Yarrowia lipolytica: one gene and its partners. The protein of the gene in region 4 binds, or shares a complex with, the protein of the main gene of each other region. Links are inferred from orthologs where the notes say so. Each region holds a gene or a part of one and is shown on either strand. Other genes may lie near its edges.

The links.
Region 1: YALI1_D35907g (region 4) and YALI1_E05645g share a complex: the UniProt entries of both Saccharomyces cerevisiae proteins name them as parts of the nuA4 histone acetyltransferase complex. The link is inferred for Yarrowia lipolytica from reciprocal best matches to the Saccharomyces cerevisiae genes EAF1 and ESA1.
Region 2: YALI1_D35907g (region 4) and YALI1_F34928g share a complex: the UniProt entries of both Saccharomyces cerevisiae proteins name them as parts of the nuA4 histone acetyltransferase complex. The link is inferred for Yarrowia lipolytica from reciprocal best matches to the Saccharomyces cerevisiae genes EAF1 and ARP4.
Region 3: YALI1_D35907g (region 4) and YALI1_D12483g share a complex: the UniProt entries of both Saccharomyces cerevisiae proteins name them as parts of the nuA4 histone acetyltransferase complex. The link is inferred for Yarrowia lipolytica from reciprocal best matches to the Saccharomyces cerevisiae genes EAF1 and EAF3.

Annotation. Positions count from the first base shown.
Region 1 is NC_090774.1:562,248-566,521, reverse strand, and holds YALI1_E05645g (uncharacterized protein), read left to right. Parts: upstream 1-1,973; coding exon 1,974-3,383; downstream 3,384-4,274. Other genes in the region: YALI1_E05664g (uncharacterized protein), read left to right, coding at 110-1,435; YALI1_E05630g (uncharacterized protein), read left to right, coding at 3,491-4,274. UniProt on the Saccharomyces cerevisiae protein: Catalytic component of the NuA4 histone acetyltransferase (HAT), a multiprotein complex involved in epigenetic transcriptional activation of selected genes principally by acetylation of nucleosomal histones H4, H3, H2B, H2A and H2A variant H2A.Z.
Region 2 is NC_090775.1:3,490,617-3,494,940, forward strand, and holds YALI1_F34928g (uncharacterized protein), read right to left. Parts: upstream 2,237-4,324; coding exon 938-2,236; downstream 1-937. Other genes in the region: YALI1_F34895g (uncharacterized protein), read left to right, coding at 1-539; YALI1_F34933g (uncharacterized protein), read left to right, coding at 2,689-4,324. UniProt on the Saccharomyces cerevisiae protein: Chromatin interaction component of the NuA4 histone acetyltransferase complex which is involved in transcriptional activation of selected genes principally by acetylation of nucleosomal histone H4 and H2A. The NuA4 complex is also involved in DNA repair.
Region 3 is NC_090773.1:1,246,599-1,250,800, reverse strand, and holds YALI1_D12483g (uncharacterized protein), read left to right. Parts: upstream 1-2,442; coding exon 2,443-3,606; downstream 3,607-4,202. Other genes in the region: YALI1_D12493g (uncharacterized protein), read right to left, coding at 75-1,466; YALI1_D12447g (uncharacterized protein), read right to left, coding at 3,912-4,202. UniProt on the Saccharomyces cerevisiae protein: Component of the NuA4 histone acetyltransferase complex which is involved in transcriptional activation of selected genes principally by acetylation of nucleosomal histone H4 and H2A. The NuA4 complex is also involved in DNA repair.
Region 4 is NC_090773.1:3,586,738-3,592,411, reverse strand, and holds YALI1_D35907g (uncharacterized protein), read left to right. Parts: upstream 1-1,810; coding exon 1,811-4,858; downstream 4,859-5,674. Other genes in the region: YALI1_D35911g (uncharacterized protein), read right to left, coding at 1-1,383; YALI1_D35870g (uncharacterized protein), read right to left, coding at 4,898-5,458. UniProt on the Saccharomyces cerevisiae protein: Component of the NuA4 histone acetyltransferase complex which is involved in transcriptional activation of selected genes principally by acetylation of nucleosomal histone H4 and H2A. The NuA4 complex is also involved in DNA repair.

The DNA of each region.
Region 1 (4,274 bases), on a different chromosome or scaffold from region 4:
CTTGTTCCCCTGCTCACACCACTCATAACCTGTACAAGGCTATCTGAATAACTTGCATGAACATTTCAGCCGTCATAATCAGAGACTACAAGGAACTTGTAATCCACACATGCCTGTCGCCAAAGACCTGTTTCCAGAGTATGGTACTCTCGCGACCGGCGAAAATGAACCCTCTCGAAATATCCGACGTGCTCAAAAACTCAGGGAGTTCCAGAACCTCGAACTTCCACCATACCTAGCAAAGCAGGTGGCTGCCAAAATGGCAGAGAAGGGTTTGGCAGTGGAAGCCACAGGAGGTGTGGCAGTCCAGCGAATCGCAGGAGGATCTCAGAGCGGCCAGAAGGCTCTGATGGGAGCTTCTTCCTCGGCACTCACGAAACACACGCCCTCTGCAAGCCAACCAACTACACACGACAGTCTCACTAATCTCGGAGCCAACCTTACACAGTCGAAACCGGCGTGGCACGCACCATGGGAGATCTACAGAGTCATTACAGGCCATCAGGGCTGGGTGAGATCTGTTTGTGTTGAACCAGAGAACCAGTGGTTTGCTACAGGTTCTGCAGACAAGACTATCAAGATCTGGGATCTGGCTACAGGAAAATTGCGACTGACTCTCACAGGACACATTATGGGTGTTAGAGCATTGGGAGTGTCGCCACGACATCCTTACATGTTTTCGGGAGGTGAAGACAAGATGGTCAAGTGTTGGGATCTGGAAACTAACAAGGTCGTTCGACACTACCATGGCCATCTCTCTGCAGTCTACTCGCTGGACATTCATCCTACTCTGGATGTCCTAGTGTCTGCTGGTCGAGACGCTGTGGCCCGTGTGTGGGACATTCGTACTCGTGACCCTGTGGTTGTTCTCAGTGGACACAAGTCGACTATCAACAGAGTCAAGTTCCAGGCCTCTGAACCCCAGGTGATTACAGCTTCGGCAGATGAGACTGTGCGACTGTGGAACCTACAGGCCGGGAAGACCATGACAACGCTCACGCATCACAAGAAGAGTGTGCGAGGCCTCACTTTACATCCCGAGGAGTTCACTTTCTCCACGGCCTCTGCTAACTCCAGTAAGCAATGGAAGTGTCCCGAGGGCGATCTAGTGCTCAACTACGACGACCAGAACGCTATCATCAATACCCTGTCCGTTAACCAAGACAACGTCATGTTTTCGGGAGGCGACAACGGCTCTATTGGCTTTTATGACTGGAAGACTGGACATATGTTCCAGAGCACCCAGTCTATTCCCATCCCAGGATCTATCGAGAGTGAAAACGGTATTTTCGACTCCAGTTTCGACAAGACTGGTCTTCGCCTCATCACCTGTGAGGCTGACAAGAGCATCAAAATGTGGCGCGAGAAGCCCAATGCCACAGCAGAAAGTGATCCCGGTCTCGAATGGAAACCCAAGATATACCAGACCTATTAGAGGGATGGTGTATCAGAATTTCGCATATTTAATGTATTTTTAGTTACAAGTACAATTGTATTGGTTGGCGTTGTCATTCTTTTGTTTTGCTTTCCCTCCTTTTCAGCCTTCGCTCTACTTGTAGGCCAGTGGTACCAATACAGGCACAGTATATGGACCCAATTCCAGAACCATACTTATACAATTTTCATTTTTTTCCGGAAACATAAAAATGGATGGTCTCCAAATAAAAATGAAATAACAACTACATGTACATTGTACTTGTACAGTTGGATATATGTGTGTTTCACCAATATAATCGCAGATTTAATAACTGAATAATATCATATAACAAGACGATATTTCGTAAATTCCCCCCTACAGTAACTGGCACATTCCTGTCTCTATTAAGGTGGCTGTACTCATCTCCCAACATCACGTGACCATAACTATTTTCAGTTTATCAAAATTTTGTCGCCACCCGAACATCAACGAGCAATAGCGCGACGAAGCTATATAACACCCAGGCAGTTTACTGTCGCTCACAACACCTCCAAAGATGGCTCTCGCAGAAGCAGACTTGCCCAACGGCAAAACCAACGGCAAAGCCTCGGGGTCCGAGGAGACTCCTGCGCCCGTTCAGAAGGTCGACATGAACGTGGCAATCAACGAGCTCCGTGTGGGCTGCAAAGTCCACGTCGAGAAAGACGGTGAGGACCGAGTTGCTGAAATTCTCAGCGTGCAAATGAGACGTGGTAACCTCGAGTTCTATGTGCACTACGTCGAGTTCAACAAGCGTCTGGATGAGCGTATTGCGGCTACTCGAGTCGACTTGTCACAGGGTGTCATTTGGCCCGAGCCAGAGAAGCCCAAGAAGCCTCTCAGTGGTGCTGCAAAGGAGAGCAGCAAGGAGAAGAAGAAGAACCCCTCCAAGAAGCAGAAGCTCACAGATTCGGCTGCAACTACTCCTGGAGCCAATTCGGAAGATGTCATGGACCTGGACAACCTCCAGGTTAACGGCACCACCCAGGACCCCGACAATTTCAACCGTGACGAGGAGATTGAGAAGCTCAGAACTGGAGGAAGTATGACACAGAGCAGTCATGAGGTGGCTCGAGTTCGAAATTTACAGAGAATTGTTCTAGGCAATCATGTCATCGAACCGTGGTACTTTTCTCCCTATCCTATCGAGCTGACCGAAGAAGATGAAATCTACATTTGCGACTTTACCCTGTGTTATTTCGGGTCCAAGAAGCAGTTTGAGCGGTTCAGATCCAAATCCACTCTGAGACATCCTCCTGGGAACGAAATCTATCGAGATGAGGCAGTCAGTTTCTTCGAGATTGACGGCAGAAAGCAGAGAACATGGTGCCGAAACCTGTGTCTCCTTTCAAAGCTTTTCCTGGATCATAAGACTCTCTACTACGATGTGGACCCCTTCCTTTTCTACTGCATGACTCGACGAGATGAGAAGGGTCACCATCTGGTAGGATACTTTTCCAAGGAGAAGGAGTCTGCTGAGGGATACAATGTCGCTTGTATTCTCACACTGCCGCAATACCAGCGTCACGGTTATGGCCGCCTTCTTATTGACTTCTCATATGCCCTTTCCAAGGCTGAGGGCAAGACTGGTTCCCCAGAAAAGCCTCTTTCAGATCTGGGTCTGCTGTCATACCGAGCCTATTGGGCAGACACCATTATTGAGTTGCTCATGGAGAAGGGTAAGCAGGAGATGACAATCGAAGACATTGCCTCCGTGACCGCCATGACCACTACAGATGTGCTGCATACCCTGCAGACATACAACATGCTCAAGTACTACAAGGGCCAACACATCATTTGTTTGACAGACAGTGTGTGCGAAAAGTATGAAAAGATGCTCAAAAAGCGGCGCCGAAAGGTCAACTCGGAGCTCCTCAAGTGGAAGCCCCCCGTATTCACAGCTGCACAGCTGCGGTTTGCTTGGTAAAAAATCCGTCCTTATCAGCTGCAGTCAGGTATGGCGCAGAACAAAGAAGTGTGCCTCAACCGCACTTGTTCATATTTATTATCAGCTTGTCACCCGTTACAGGGCCAATGTCTTGCAATCATCTCAATATTTATATAATTGGAATCACAATGTATGTATTTTACTCATCCGGACACCCATACGCGATGGCAATCCACCACAGCTTCAAGATTTCCAAGAAAAAGGCCCTGCCACCGGCCAAGAGCAAGGCCACGCTACGACCCAAGTCCACCGAACCTGTTCCTGTTGCTGCCAATCCTCTCATCACCGCCTTTGAGGTCGACTTCAGCAATGACGGTCCTGTTGCTGACTTCCAATGGGACATTGAAACCATTGAGAAATCTCGGGTAGTCTTTCCTTTGGCTCCCGAGGCTTGGGAGACTACCTTTGCTGCTGTCCACGAGTCCGACACTACACAGACCACGCAACCCCCCTCGGAAGATGATACCACTCTGGAGATTACCGAGGAGAAAGTCGCGACCAAGATTGTCCCTCAGAAGTTCATTCCCGGATGGATGATGGTCGGTGATACCGGTGATTCCACAGATGTTGATCAGTCAGTCGACCCACCTCAATGTTTCGATTGGGTTGACTTGTTTTTCGAACCCAAGAGTGCAACAGAGTACGACCCACGGAACTTTTCCAGCCACTTCCAGGAGACTCTCAAGGTGTCGCAGGAGCTTTATACCCCCGGGTCTGTGGTGAATCCCATCACTGAGGGCTACGTCATATCTGGCAAGTCCACCCATGCCTTCTTCAATCCCATAACCGGCGCCATGACTCCTTGGATCCACCAGCCAGCACCTCGTGCGTCGAAGGACAAATCGACTAACACAACTCTGCGCACCATTC
Region 2 (4,324 bases), on a different chromosome or scaffold from region 4:
GAGACTGGGCCAAACATGGCTCCTCAAACTATCAGTGCAACATGTACTCTCCCGAGCAGGCCGAGGAGGATCAGAAGAGCGTCAATGCTAAGCGAGAACAGCTTGACAGATATATGTTCTTTTACACGCGGTACAACAATCATCGAGACAGTGCCAAGCTGGACGAAAAGACGTACAAGAACATTACTAAGACAATGGAGACGCTGCAGAAGGAAGGCAAAATGACATGGCTGGAGTCGCGGTTCCTGCCATCGTCGTTCGAGATTCTCAGACAGTCTCGGCAGACGTTGCTGTGGACCTATGCGTTTGCATTTTTCTTGGACGCCCAGCCGGAGCGGGAAATCTTCCTCAAGAACCAGGAGGATCTTGAGCTGCACACCGAGGGGCTGTCAGAGCTGTTTGAGTACAAGTGGGACAGGATTCCGGGAGCCAAGGTCAACTTTCTGGACAAGTGCTCGTACCTCAAGTCCCGACGTCAGAAGCTTGTCGAGCATGTCATGAAGGGTATGGAGGAGCGCAACTGGAAGTTTTTGAACTGATCATGGGATTAAGCATTGAGATAACTGCAAATAGGAATAGCATATTTATTATTATCTGCACTGAACGAGGATGAATGGACCGTTCAGTTTTCGTAATGTGAACAATTTACTTATAGCGAGCTGAGGAAGAACGGGGCGGTTGTACGATACCATCGTACAAGCAGTAAACATGTATCTCTAGTTGTAGATATTACAGTACATACTGTATGATTAATCATGAAGAAAGTAAAAGTAGCCACTGCTGCGTACTACAAGGTATTGTACGCATGTACAGTATGTACATAGTGTACAAGTGTAAGTACAGTATGTACAGGATGTACCTATAGAATACCGACTGTGACAAGAACTTATTGCCATTAAATAATACATTCCATCTATACAATCTTAGTTCTAGTCCTTTACTTGAACCGCTTCTTTTCGACCAAATAGTCTCCTCCCTTCTCCTGCCACTCCTGTTTGCTGACCCACAGCTGATGGAACGATCCCAGGCTGCCCAAAACAGAACCGCCAATCCAAGCACCGTGTCGTCGCTCCTCCTGGTTGGAAGCAGCAGCAACTCGGACCTTAAGACCACTCAGGGCCTGGGTCACGTCCTTACTGACTCTATCACTGAGACCCTGAACCAGCGACCCTCCACCAGTGATAACAATGTTGTTAGCCAGGTGAGCCCTCACATCCACGTTGGAAGCGTTGATTGTGTCCACCACCATCTCACTGAGTCCCCGCGCAGTATCTGGCACAGTCTCTCCGTCAAAAGGGTACTCACTGGGCTTGAATAAGCTCTCAGAAGTAGACAGACGGTCTGCTCCGAAAGTTGTGCTGTAGCCCGTGGGGAACTCGAAGACCCGGTCGGCGGCTTCACCAGAGATTTCTGGAGTCAGGGGAACATCGTTCACCTGACACATGGAGTCCTTGAACTCAGAGAGAATACGAGACACCTGCAGATCAGTGAAGGAATGAGTGACGTTGGGAAGCTCCCGCTTGGTGAACACAGGTGGCTCACCCATCTCCACAGCCTTCTTGTTCTTAATCTCGAACCGAGGAGTGAGATCGATTCCTCGTGAAACAAGCACCTTTTTAATCTGTCTATCCAAATAGTCTCCAGCGTACTGTGACCGTCGCGCGGGCTTGTAAAGCACCAATCCATCAATGACAGGTGTCACAGAAGCCACTTCAGATCCTACATCCAGTACCAGTGCGTTTCCCTTTCCTGCAGCAAACGCAGAAGCCACAGCGTCCTTGACCAAGTACGATGCCGGGACCTCGAGGCTCTCGAACGCGATTTCAAGCGCCTTGAGCTTGTTGGCCTGCGTGTTCCAGCACGGCTCCGTCAGCATCAATGGGTGTGTCTTTGTGTCGGCATTGAGTCGAGCCAGCGAGTATTCCCAAATATTCTGCACCGCGTCCCAATCAGCCACAATCCCGTCGGTAAGAGGATGAAGCACCTCCATGTTGGGCAGTGGCAGATTGGCGGAGTCGCCAACCTTGTACTTGTTTAATTTTTTGGTTGTGTTGCTTGTATCGTCCTCCATCTCGACATCCTCGTCTGCCATCAGTCCACACTCTGTGGAAACCACCAGTTTGGGGGTATCTTCTCCGGCGTATCCGACTCGAGTGTACGACGACCCGGTGTCGATCACCAGGGTCGCCACCTCATCGCCTCCATACACCTGGGGGGCTGGAGCTGTTGTAGTCATGATGGGTGGTGTGTCGTCTTCAGATGGTAGTATGTATGGGGTACCAGTCTGTACGTGATATTTGATGGTGGAGAGTGTGACTGATCGTGCGTTCGAGTTTCGTTAATGCACGAAAATAACATTGGTTAGAGTTAATTAAGTCGAGGCCGAAACAAAAATTAACATGAGACTCAGTAGCACGAGACTACAGTTCGAAACGGCAACAAAAGGAGCAATTTCAAAGGCGAAAGCGCGAATATAATCTTCGAGACCGGCTGATCAAATATATTTCTCAAATCCCCACAATATCCCGTCTTGACAGTGACAAAACATTGTCCTCCATCCCAGGCACCTAGACAAACCTCCCAACAGGGTAAGGGCACCTGCACCCAATCAAAAGCCACCCTTGCTATTGCTGTTCCTCACCACACAAGGTCTGTACTGAACAGAAAAAAACCTCGACCAAACACACAATGATCAGAGCTACAGCCATGCACCGGTCAATTGTGCAGCGTCGCATGCTGAGCACCGCCTCTCGGCTCCAGCAGGCCGCCAAGCCCGCTACCGGCTCCACTGTTGGAACAGCCAATGGCGCCTCTGCTGCCTCGGGCAAGCCTCCCGGAGCCACCTTTGAGGGAGCCTCCAAGCAGAAGAAGAAGACTCACAAGTTCCGAAACTTTGTGCTGCTCTCCACCTTTGTCGGCGCCGGCGCCTTTGCCGGAGGTGTTTATTACTCCCTTCAGAACGACCAGTTCCAGAGCCTGTTTGTCGAGTACGTGCCCGCGGCCGAGCACGCCATCAACTACATTGAGGAGCAGCAGCTGCGATCCGGCCGACTCAAGATCGCGACTCCCACCTCCAAGCATGACGTTGACCAGTCCACCGTCCGAGTGCCCAAGTCCGGTGCTACCTGGCGAGCGGTCGACTCCACCGATGCTGCTACTTCTGCCAAGTCTGCATCTTCTCCCGCTGCCAACGTGGCCAAGGACGTCGCTTCCCCCGCTCCTGCTGCCACCGCCTCCCCTGTCTCTAGTGGTTCCCCCAAGACTGACAACACCACCGTGCCCGCTGTGCGACTGGCTAACGACTCTGACCCCGCCGTCAAGGCCGCCGTCCAGACCTTCAATGATCTGATCGCCGTGGCCCCCTCTGGTGCCGCCAAGCAGCTCTCCGCCAAGGTCTCCACCGTGGTCGACCAGCTGCAGCACAACGTGGCCCAGATCAAGTCTGAGGCCGCCGAGGAAGCTAAGAACTCCATCAACAAGCTCAACAGCGAGCTGGCCAAGCTCAAGGCTTCCACCGGCGAGGAAATCTCGTCTAAGGTGTCTGCCGCCGAGCAGCAGCTGCGAAACGAGTTTGCCGCTCTGCGAGCCCACTCTGAGAAGGTCTACCACGACCGTCTCCGAGTCGAGATTGAGGCCACCAAGTCCCTTGTTTCTTCTCACGCCAACAACCTGATTCAGGCCGTCGAGGCCGAGCGACAAAAGCAGTACGCCCAGGAGATTGCCGAGCGAGTCGAAACCGAGCGAGAGGGCCGTCTCTCCAAGCTCAAGGACCTCCAGACTTCCCTCACCCAGCTGCAGGACCTGGCTCTCAAGACCGAGCAGGCCGTTGACGCCTCCGGCCGAACCGCAGCTCTGCATCTTGCCATCGCTAAGCTCACCGGTGCTCTCAAGGGTTCCGAGCCCGTGGCCCTCGGCCCTTACGTCGAGTCCATCCGACGGGCTGCTGGTGACGATCCTCTGCTGCAGGCCGCTCTGGACTCTATTCCCGAGGTCGCTCAGACCGAGGGAGTTCTTACCCCTGCCCAGCTTACCATTCGATTCAAGCTGCTCGAGCCTGAGCTACGAAAGTCCTCTCTGGTTCCTGTTAACGCCGGTGTCGCCGGTCATCTGGGCTCCCTCATTTTCTCCTCTCTGCTGTTCAAGAAGAGCGGAGTGCCCAAGGGAGACGACGTCGAGAGTGTGCTTGCTCGAGCCAACATTGCTCTGGAGCAGGGCAAGCTATACGACGCCGTGGCTGAGGTCAACACTCTCAAGGGATGGCCCCGAAAGCTGGCCTCTGACTGGCTGGACGAGGGTCGACGACGAACCGAGATTGAGTTCCTCG
Region 3 (4,202 bases), about 2.3 Mb from region 4:
ATGTACACTGTACACTTGTATGTGCTATTTAGCTAATATTTACGTAATAGCCAGTTGAGAAGGGCTCAAACTAGTTACTCGAAGAGACGGCCAAAAAGGTGACGACCCTTGTAGTAGAACAAGGCGCCCATTCCAACCAGACCCGCAAACGAGGTCCAATTGACAATGTTACCAATGATTCGGTCTTGTCGAGCGCTTCGACTCAGAGCCTTGGAGTAAGGAATGTCGGCTCGGAACGACACCATGGAGTAAAGAGGGACCCAAGCGGACGAAAAGACACGTCCAAGAACTCCGTCCACCTTCTTTCGAATCAGGTAGGGCAGACTGACCACTGAGTGGCTCATTTCCACATAATTTCGCATGGCGAGATCGACAATAGCAACAAGATCCTTGTGTCGTCGCTCGGTGTAGGTGTTAAAGGCCTCCTCGACGTTCCATTTCTTTTCATCCAAAATCTCCATGAGCACCCGGATGTCTTCAAATCCGGCGTTCATTCCCTGGCCGTAGAACGGAACCATGCAGTGGGCTGCGTCGCCTACGAGCAGACACTCGCCCTTGTGATTATAAGGAGAGCACTTAAGGGACACCAGGGGGGACCGGGGGTTGTTTTCGTACGACTCCAGAATCTGAGACTCGCCCATCAGCTCGTATGCGTCTGGGAACTGCTCCTTGAAGAAGGAAATGAAGGTGTTTTGGGATTCACACACCTGTTCCATGAGCGCCGGGGGAGCAAACAGCGTAGATGTGAACGAGCCATCACCGTTGGCCAGTGCAATGAGCATGTATTTGTGTCGGGGCCAAATGTGCAGGTGGTTGGGCGAGATGGAAAACGGATCGGGTCCGTCGGCCTTGGGGATCTTGAGTTCCAGGTAGACACAGTCAATGTACTGCTGGGCGTAGTTCATTCGGACGTATCGCTGGAGTCGATCTCTGGTCTTGCTGAAGGCTCCATCTGCTCCAATAATGTAGTCACTTTCCACGACCCTCTCTTCGCCCTCCTTGGTCTCAAAAGTCGATGTCGGTCGCTGGTACTTTTTGTCCTTTCGGCTGAGCGAAATGTTGGTTAGTTTGTGCTCGGGGAAGAAGGTGATGTTGGCGTTATCTTCAATCACGTCCAGCATGGTTCGGTTGAGCTGGGCTCGGTCAATCGAGTTGATACACTCGCCCCATAGGCCGTAAGCCTGAGCATGTTGTCCTCCCTGGAGATCGTGGATCATACGACCGTACATGGGGATAATGTCGGCCAGCACTCGCTCGGCCATCTTGGTGTCGACAGATCTGAGTGCCTCGATGCCTCGAGCAGACACAGCCAGGTTAATGGATCGCAACGAGGCGTTTTTGAGCTCCGCCTCGGACCGGAGATCAGGACGAGCATCGTAAAGCGCCACCTTGTGGCCGCGATCTGCGAATGCCAGAGCCGCCAGACAGCCCACAAGACCCGCTCCTACCACTGTGACTTCGTGCATGCTGAAAAAAGATATTTTAGGCGCCTTTTCAGGTTAGATGGTCGGGGTGTATCGCCTTACCAACGGTTGGGAGTACTACTACAGTAACCAAGTGGGGTCATGCGTGCGGCGTAGTCTTTCATATTGGTGGCACGACACTCGTAGTCACGATTGGAAAAAAGTATCGTAGGCGATGGGTGGATTTATATAGTTGCTAATGATGTTAAAAATATGTCTCTATGCAATTGGTCCCTTAAACCCGCCCCGCAAGTTTTCGCTGGTTGTGATGCTCAGTTGACAATCTACCAACCGTCTTTTTTTAGGATTTTTAGAAAAGGTTGTTTTTTACTTGGGATTAGTTGAAGAAAAAAGTCGGCTGGGGGTTCAAATTCGAGGTTCCAGTTATACGAGAGTTACAAGAGTCAAATAAAAACATGTAACCAAAGAGTCTCTTTCAAATGACATAAAAAAAACCTTGTAGCCATATAGAAATATTGCAAGATATCTTGGTTTATGTAAATTATTTAGGTTATCATTTACTTGGGTTTAGTTAAGCGTTTGAATGACTTTTGAGCAGTGTAGGGAACCACTCAGAGCCCTCAAAAAGAGGATAGAAGATCTCAGGGGGCTGTTTAAGCTACTATAACCAGCTCAACCGACAATCTCAATACACAACAAAAGCTCCAGGTAGCCATTGCGCCAATACACAGCAACACAGTAGCGCATGTTTTTCACTCTTCCACAACCCTGACACACAGATTAGGAGTATCGAAACGGCGTATACAAACTAATATTTGCTGAAAACACACTCATCCACCGGGTAAAAAAAACGTTCTCGTTTCTTTTCTCACGCCATACACTCTCAACCTCACCTTCTTCCTCCTCTCGTTGTATTTTTCACGCGTACTTGCGCTACTAACTCGCCAACTCTATATCACCACTTTAGGACGCTCCTCCTACTTCACCACCAACCCACATACACACAATCTCCGCAATCATGGTTCTAGCCACCAATTCGCGGTGCCTGGCGTACCATGGTCCGCTGCTCTACGAAGCAAAGATCCTCATGTCTTACGACCCCTCCAAACGCGGCTCTAAGGCCAAGGTGGAGGACGGGCTTCCGCCCACGGTTGAGATCGGAAACGTGGTCAACACTCACAAGCGCAAGCGGGGTCCTCGCGCCTCTCTTCCTGCTGCGGGCGCAACGCCCGATGGAGACGACTCCAACGACAAAAACCGACACTTTAGTCCAAAGGAAGGGAAACCTGACGTGCCCGCAGATCTGGCCGACGAAAACGAGGACAAAATCTGCTACTACGTGCACTACAAGGGCTGGAAAAACACGTGGGACGAGTGGGTCGGCGAGGAGCGGGTACTGGCTCTCAACGAGGACAACATCAAGCTACAGAAGGAGCTCAAGGCTGCGGCTCTAGCAGCGGCCAAGAAGGGCAAGGATTTTGACGCCCTGGCTCCTCCCGAGGCGCTCAGTGAAACGGCCTCTCCGGCACCAACCACAAAGCGCAAATCCATGGCATCAAAGGACTCTCCTGCTGAGGGACCCCGTCCCGTGAAACGACGAGGGGGACTCGCTGCCCTGGAGGACCTCGAGAAGGAAGACGACTATCTAAAACGCAAGGAAATTGCGCTTGTTGTGCCCGACAAGCTCAAGGCCCAGCTGGTAGACGACTGGGAGTTTGTCACCAAGGACCACCAGCTTGTCGGCTTGCCCCGGAAGGTGACGGTGGTGGACATTCTCAAGGAATTCAAAAAGGAGGCGGAGGCCAAATATAGACCTGGCTCTGCCGACGCCGATATTCTCAACGAGGTGGTGTCGGGAATCAAGCTCTACTTTGATCGCTCGCTGGGCTCAATCTTGCTCTACAGATTCGAGCGAGAGCAGTACCTACAAATCACCCAGAGCCCAGACCACTCCAACAAGACCATGAGCGAAGTCTACGGCGCGGAGCATCTGCTGCGGCTGTTTGTGTCGCTCCCGGGGCTCATTGCTATGACCAACATGGATGCCCAAAGCGTGGCGGTGCTCAAGGAGCACTTGGAGGACTTTGTGCGGTTTCTGTCGACCCACCAGAAAACGTACTTTTTGAAGGAGGCTTACACAAATGCTTCGCCCGCATACGAGGCTCTGTCCAAGGGTCTTTAGGGTTAGAAACGAAGAGCGAGGCAAAGAGTCGCGCAGCGATTCCCTCCGAGCTGGCCTACCGACAACATCATCTGTCATAGGCCGTTGGTCGGTGGTGATTAATCACGTTTGACCATATAGCTAGCTAACTACTCAATACATGTATAACAGTGGGTGTAACGGTGTAAAGTGCTACAATGACACAAGTTTGCGAAAGGAATCGTTTTGTTTATTCAATAAATACAGAAAAGCGCTTAGAAAAAGACTATATATATAAAAAGAGAGGTGCAGGCGTGAATGTCAAAAAAGTTGAAATCTAGTTTGGTTTAAGCCGTCAAACCAAAGTCGAAATCAAGATCGAGCTCGGGAAGCATGTTTCTAGACTCCCGGGAAGGTCGTCGGACATGCGAGCCTTCAGGCCGGGGTCCAGAGGGTACCCGCTTCTTGATTTGCAAGGGGGGGATGAAAGAAGAGCTCACACTAGTCTCATAAGTGGCAGGACGGGCCTCAGGAATGCAAGCTTTGACTGGAGAGTCGTAAGACGACTGGAAGGTGGCTGCTGATGCCATGGAAGGGGAGGTCATAGGCGAAGTGTCCGAAGCAGAAGACATATCTGC
Region 4 (5,674 bases):
CTCCTTTCGAAGCTGCAGGTACTCCTGAATAGGTTCGTCCAGCTGGTGAGGGTTCTCGACCCAGGGAGTGAATTCTGGTCGAAGAAGAGTCAGAGGGTTGTGTTTTTGCACAGCCATGCGAGCTGCCGGTCCTTTGGCAGGCGAAATTTTGGCAGGTGTGAAACTAGGTGCGGTAGGAGTGAAACTAGGTGCTGTAGGAGTGAATGCCTTAGGCACAAAAGAAGGGACACCAGCAGTACCAGGCACAAAAGATTCAGTAGGCTTCACCTTGCTGAAATCAAACCTCTTCTTGGGCTTCTCAGCAACAGTTTGTGTGTCATTAGAACTGGCCACAGCTGCCCATTTGCTACCTGGCTTCTCCCTTTTTTTGGACTTTGTGTCACTAGCTGTTCCACTTGCTCCTCCCAGAGTGGGGAAATCTTCCAAGGAGTCAAGCATGGGCTTGGAGAAGTTCTCCAGAGGCTTTGTGGGCTCTGGAGTAGACTCGGTCTCTGGAAAGGAATGCAGGAAGGCACAAGTCTCGCCATTCAAGCACGCGCCACGGACCCAAAATCGACACACACGTGATGTCAGATCATGGGAATATCTGCAATCTGCCCGCAAACACTCTCCAAACTGCACAAAGTACTTACAGAGAACCTTCTCCTCTCTTCCTGGCAACAGAGCCAGTGCCGCATAGACCTCTTTCTCGTCCTCATCGTACTCTTCCTCGTACATGCTGGGGTCCTCGTAGTTGTTGTAGCCGCTGTAATCGTGTACTTCCTGATGATGTTCCATCTCGTAAACCTGAGCGGCCTGCTCCTCTTCCTCCACATGCTCAGAACCTGAACGGTCGTCGTACTTTTGTAGCACCACAATAACCACATTGATGTCGTAGTTGTGCTTCTCCAGTGTGTTCTGGATCAGTTCATCGGAGTAATTGCCTCCAAGCACGGCTCTAAGAAGATCAAAAGGTGCCAGATCGGTCTCTCCATGCCCCACATGACCTTCACTGTCAGGCACATAATCTTCCCAGTAGACCTCCTCCTCGTCCTCAGGCAGCTTATCCCGTAAGGGAACGGCCTTGCCTCGCTTCTTGTAGTCGTCCACAACTTTGGACCAGTCGATTTCTGGAAGCACCTCTGGGATTTTGACCCAGTCGATGCTCTTGGACTTGTCGACACCCACAATCCGCACATCTCCATGACCATTGCGGTGACGTGTGACCGAGCCCTCCTTCTCACGATGTTTCCACATGAGATCCAGCACCATGCTCTCCCGTTCGCTAGAAGACATTTCTCCATGATGTTTCACCACGAGCTCTTCCAAAAGCTCGATCTTGTCCTCCTCCAGGACACTGTCATCATCTAGAATCGCATCTGCCTCCCTTGACAACTCGTCCATAATGTTGCGAGATAACGGCTGTCAAATTATAGGCTTGCTTCTCTTTGCCACAGGCGATATTCCATCCACAAATTCAGTCTATCCAGACCAGCCGTTGTAAATTATTTGAATCTTAAACTGGTGGACGAGATTGATGTGCATTGGGGCTGTCAGACGACGTCCATTAATAAGCAGCAGCTTGAAGAAGGATGGGTGAGCAACTTGTCAGATATGTGATTAATGATCGTCTAAATAAAAAATATGCCTTATTATTGTGAACGTAAGTGCCATGTCTGGCTATAACTTCCAGTTTCAGCAATTTACCATTGCTTTGCTAAAATAGACAATCCTAAAAATCGAACTGAGAACAACGTGTACATTTTTTCGCCCATCACGTGAATTACATCACCATAACTCCCGCGTATTCACTCTCTCAGCGTCAACCAGCATGATGGACCCGCGGCAAGAGACGTGCGGAGACATTGTGTCGACGCGTAAACGTCGGCTTGAAGAGCTATACTACGTCTCCTTGCACCCTCGGTACCCCCAAGGTCTGGATGCCAAACAGAAACTGAAGCAGTTCCAGGACCAGTTCGACCTGACACAAAACCGACTTTTCGACGAAAACAAATTACCAAAGGCGGTCGAAGAGCCCAAGCCAGTGCCGACCCTTCAAACCTCGACACCTGATGCAGGCTCTTCTCCAGAGTTGAAGCGACGACGTACGTCTAGTATTGCGCAACTGTCACCTACATTCTCACGCACATCACTCAAAACAAACGAGCAGCAACTGCAGGAAATGCTGCTGTTTCTGGTGCCCAGCAACATCCCCGAACCCACCACAGAAACTAAGTCGCTCGCTGAGCTATACTACACCACACAGACCCTACCACTGTCCAAGCTTATTCCGTCGGCGCACAAAACACTTACCACAGACTCCTACCATCTGGCGTTGCTGGAGGGCAAGCTTGCAGTAGCACATGCTCGTATAGAGGAGCTGAAGCGGGCAGGGAAATGGGGCCCCAGGCAGCCAAAGCGGTTCCAGGACCCTATCCGACGGAAAACACACTGGGACCATGTGTTAGATGAAATGGAGTGGATGTCTACGGATTTCCGGGAGGAGAGAAAATTCAAGCAGGCGATGGCTTGTGAAATTGCCTTTTCCGTGCTGGAGTACCACAAGTACGGTAAGGAAGCTTGTTGTGTGAAGACGAAGCCTATCAAGTTCCTACCAGAGGAAATTAACGAGTCTGAAGATACAGAGAGCAAGATGGACATTGATACAAGCATGCCACCACCAAGTATCAACCCTGTTGAGGTGACAAACATCTCAGCAGCGGATTCTGTCACTGTTGTTGACTACGATACTCTCCTCTCACAACCCAGGACACTGTCATCGACTGAGGAGTCTGAAGACAAGCCGGAAGAGCCTTCTACAGACAGTGAAGAGGTCGTCGGTGGGGAGGTGCCCAAGCGACCTGCTGCTCCTAAACTTCCTGAGAGCTCTCCGTTCAAGCTGTACGCCTCAGTGGACAAGCTGGACCCTCTATCCAAGGCTCTCTTTGACAACCTCCCTGTCACTACACCTCCTGGTTCTGCCGTTAATGCTCTACAGGTTCCCTACAGCGATCCTCTGGACAACTCAAAACTCGCACCTGTCACGCATCTTCTAGCGGCTCCCCCGGAGCAAGATGATTGGTGGTCGGTATGTCTTGAAGACTCTCCTGCCGATGAGGACACTCTCCCTCTACGATCTAACACTCGTTCTACACTGTTCAATTCGGAGACCATGCGCCGACATGTCGTCATTAAGGCGCCGCAGCCTCCACAGACCAAGTACCTCGACTTCCGAACGCCAACAATGTGGTTATTGGCTGATGATTCACAGCTTCTTCGACTGGTCAAGGAGTATTCCTACAACTGGGACATTGTGTCTGCCCACATGCTGCCCCAAAAAACTTACGGCTTCACAGCTAACATTGAGAGACGTACGTCATGGCAGTGCTTCGAGCGTTGGTTCCAGCTCAATCCGACGTTTTCTCTGACGGATTTGCGTGGTCCCTACGCTCAGGCTGCCCAGCAATGGATGGCCGCTGCTGCCAAAGCCCAGGCTCAGTCCAAGCGTCGCATCTCGCCTCTTGGTGTGTCGAATGAGTCTATCCAGAGAGGTCACCGGAAGCTGCGATGGGCTTCCATGTTTGACGGTATTCGAAAGAGCATGCGAAAACGAGAAACTACCCCCCGACCTAACCCTCAGCCGCCTCGAAAGTCGCAGCTATCCGAGTCCAACAAGAAAGATATTGCTTCGCCTCTGGATCTGTGCAAGATGAAGTTTGAGCAGGATAAGAATCTCGCAAAGGCTTACGCTCAGCAGCGGATGATGCCTGGTCAGATGCCTGGTCAGATGCCCCCGGTACCTTCTAACATTCCTGCTAACCGTCAGTTCCCCGGTCAACGACCTCCTCCTCCTCAGACCGCGGCTCAAATTCAGGCACACACGCAGGCACAGGCTCGAGCTGCTGCTGCCGCCTCTGGACATATGCAGCAGCGTATGGCTGGTGTGGGCATGAACAGAATGCCTGGCCAGATGAACGACCAGCACCAGATGATGCAGTTTGATCGACAGCGGCAGCTCATGGAGCAGCAGAAGATGCTGCAACAACAGCAGCAGCAGCAGTTTATGCGAACCCAGGGGCAGGTGCCTCCTCAGCCAGGCCAGGTGCAGGGACAGGTGAACCAGAACGTCCAGGGCGCTCAGGTGGCTGCCGGTCAGGCTGGTATGGCTCAGAGACCGGCCGGCCAGATACCTCAGGGCCAGATGCCTGCTCAACAGGGACAGGTTCCTCCTGGCCAAGCTGGAAATCAGGCCCAGATGATGCGTCCCAACATGCGAATGCGACCCGGAGGTCCCCAGGCAGCTGCCCCCAACGAGCATCTGAATGCTCTAATTCGCCAGTTGCAGAACCAAAACCCTGCTTTGTCTCTGGAGGCCGCCACCAAGCTGGCGCATGTGCAGGTGCAGCGGTTTGTCCAGAAGCAGCAGCGAGTAGCTCGTCAGGCTCAGGGACAGACTCCTCCTCAGGGACAGATGCGTCCTGGACAGCCCCAGGGACAACCCTCTCCTCAGATGCGTTCGGGTTCTTCGACTCCCATGAACATGCAATCGCCACAACTGATGAACGTACAGCTCCAACAGCAACAGCAGCAACGGTCTGCTTCACCAGGTCAGAGCCCCGCCCAGCAGCACGCCATGCTTATGCGAATGAACCAGCAGCAGCAGCAGCAGCAGCAGCAGCACAGCAGAACCAGGGACAGACCCAGGGACAAAACCAAGGACAAGGTCCATCCGAGTAAGATGGCCGTCCGATTATTTATGTATACAGATAATATTATTGAACTCTACAGTACTTGTAGCTACTGTACTTTTACAACACTTCGTCATGTAAAAGTAGCTTTCTCTCTGCTACTATCTCGTAACCATATCCTCATTCCGTAACTCCATTGTCTATAATATATGTTCAAACCCGCGCACTGGTTACTTCTTCTCTCCGCCAATCAGCCCATTGACTCCACTCTTGAGAGAGTCCCAAGCACTGTTGACGGCCTTGCCGAAATGTTCGCTTGACTCGTCGACGGCAGATGTGAATCGCTTGTTGGCAGAATCAAGATCAGATTGGGCATGGGAGGCACCCTCCTTGAAGTTGTCCCAGGTGCCGTGGGGCTGTCCCTTGCTGTCAAAGGTGTCTCGGATCTTCTCGTTCTCGTGCTCGGTGTTCTTCTCAACCTTGTTGAACTCGTTCTTGACGTCCTTGTTGAAGTCTTCGGCCTTGTCGTGGACTCCGTGGGTCCACTTTTCGTTAGCATCCTTGAGCTTCTCGCCCTCTTGGTGGGCTTTCTTGTCAAAATCGCCGGAGAAGGTGTCGTGAATCTTCTCGTTCTCCTTGCCGAGATTCTTCTGGGCGTCCGAGGCGCCTTCCTTGAGCTCATCCCAGCCCTTCTTGACGTCATCTCCGAGGCTCTCAGAGCCCTTCTTGAAGTCATCGCCAGCCTTGGAGGCGTCCTTCTTGATGGTGTTATCGACGTGGTCAGCAGACATTGTGTGTGTGTTTGTGTTGGTGTATGTGTGTGTGTGGAGTGAAGTTACGAAGATGGGCACGCTATATATACCTATGCTGCCTCATCCCTATCTCCGGTCTCCATGCTCCGAATGATTTACAGATCACTTGATGATTCTGAAACAACGTGATATTAAGCTATCAATGCATTTTCATGCTTACAGGCCTTGTCTATGATTGCTATCTGTATGCGGTAT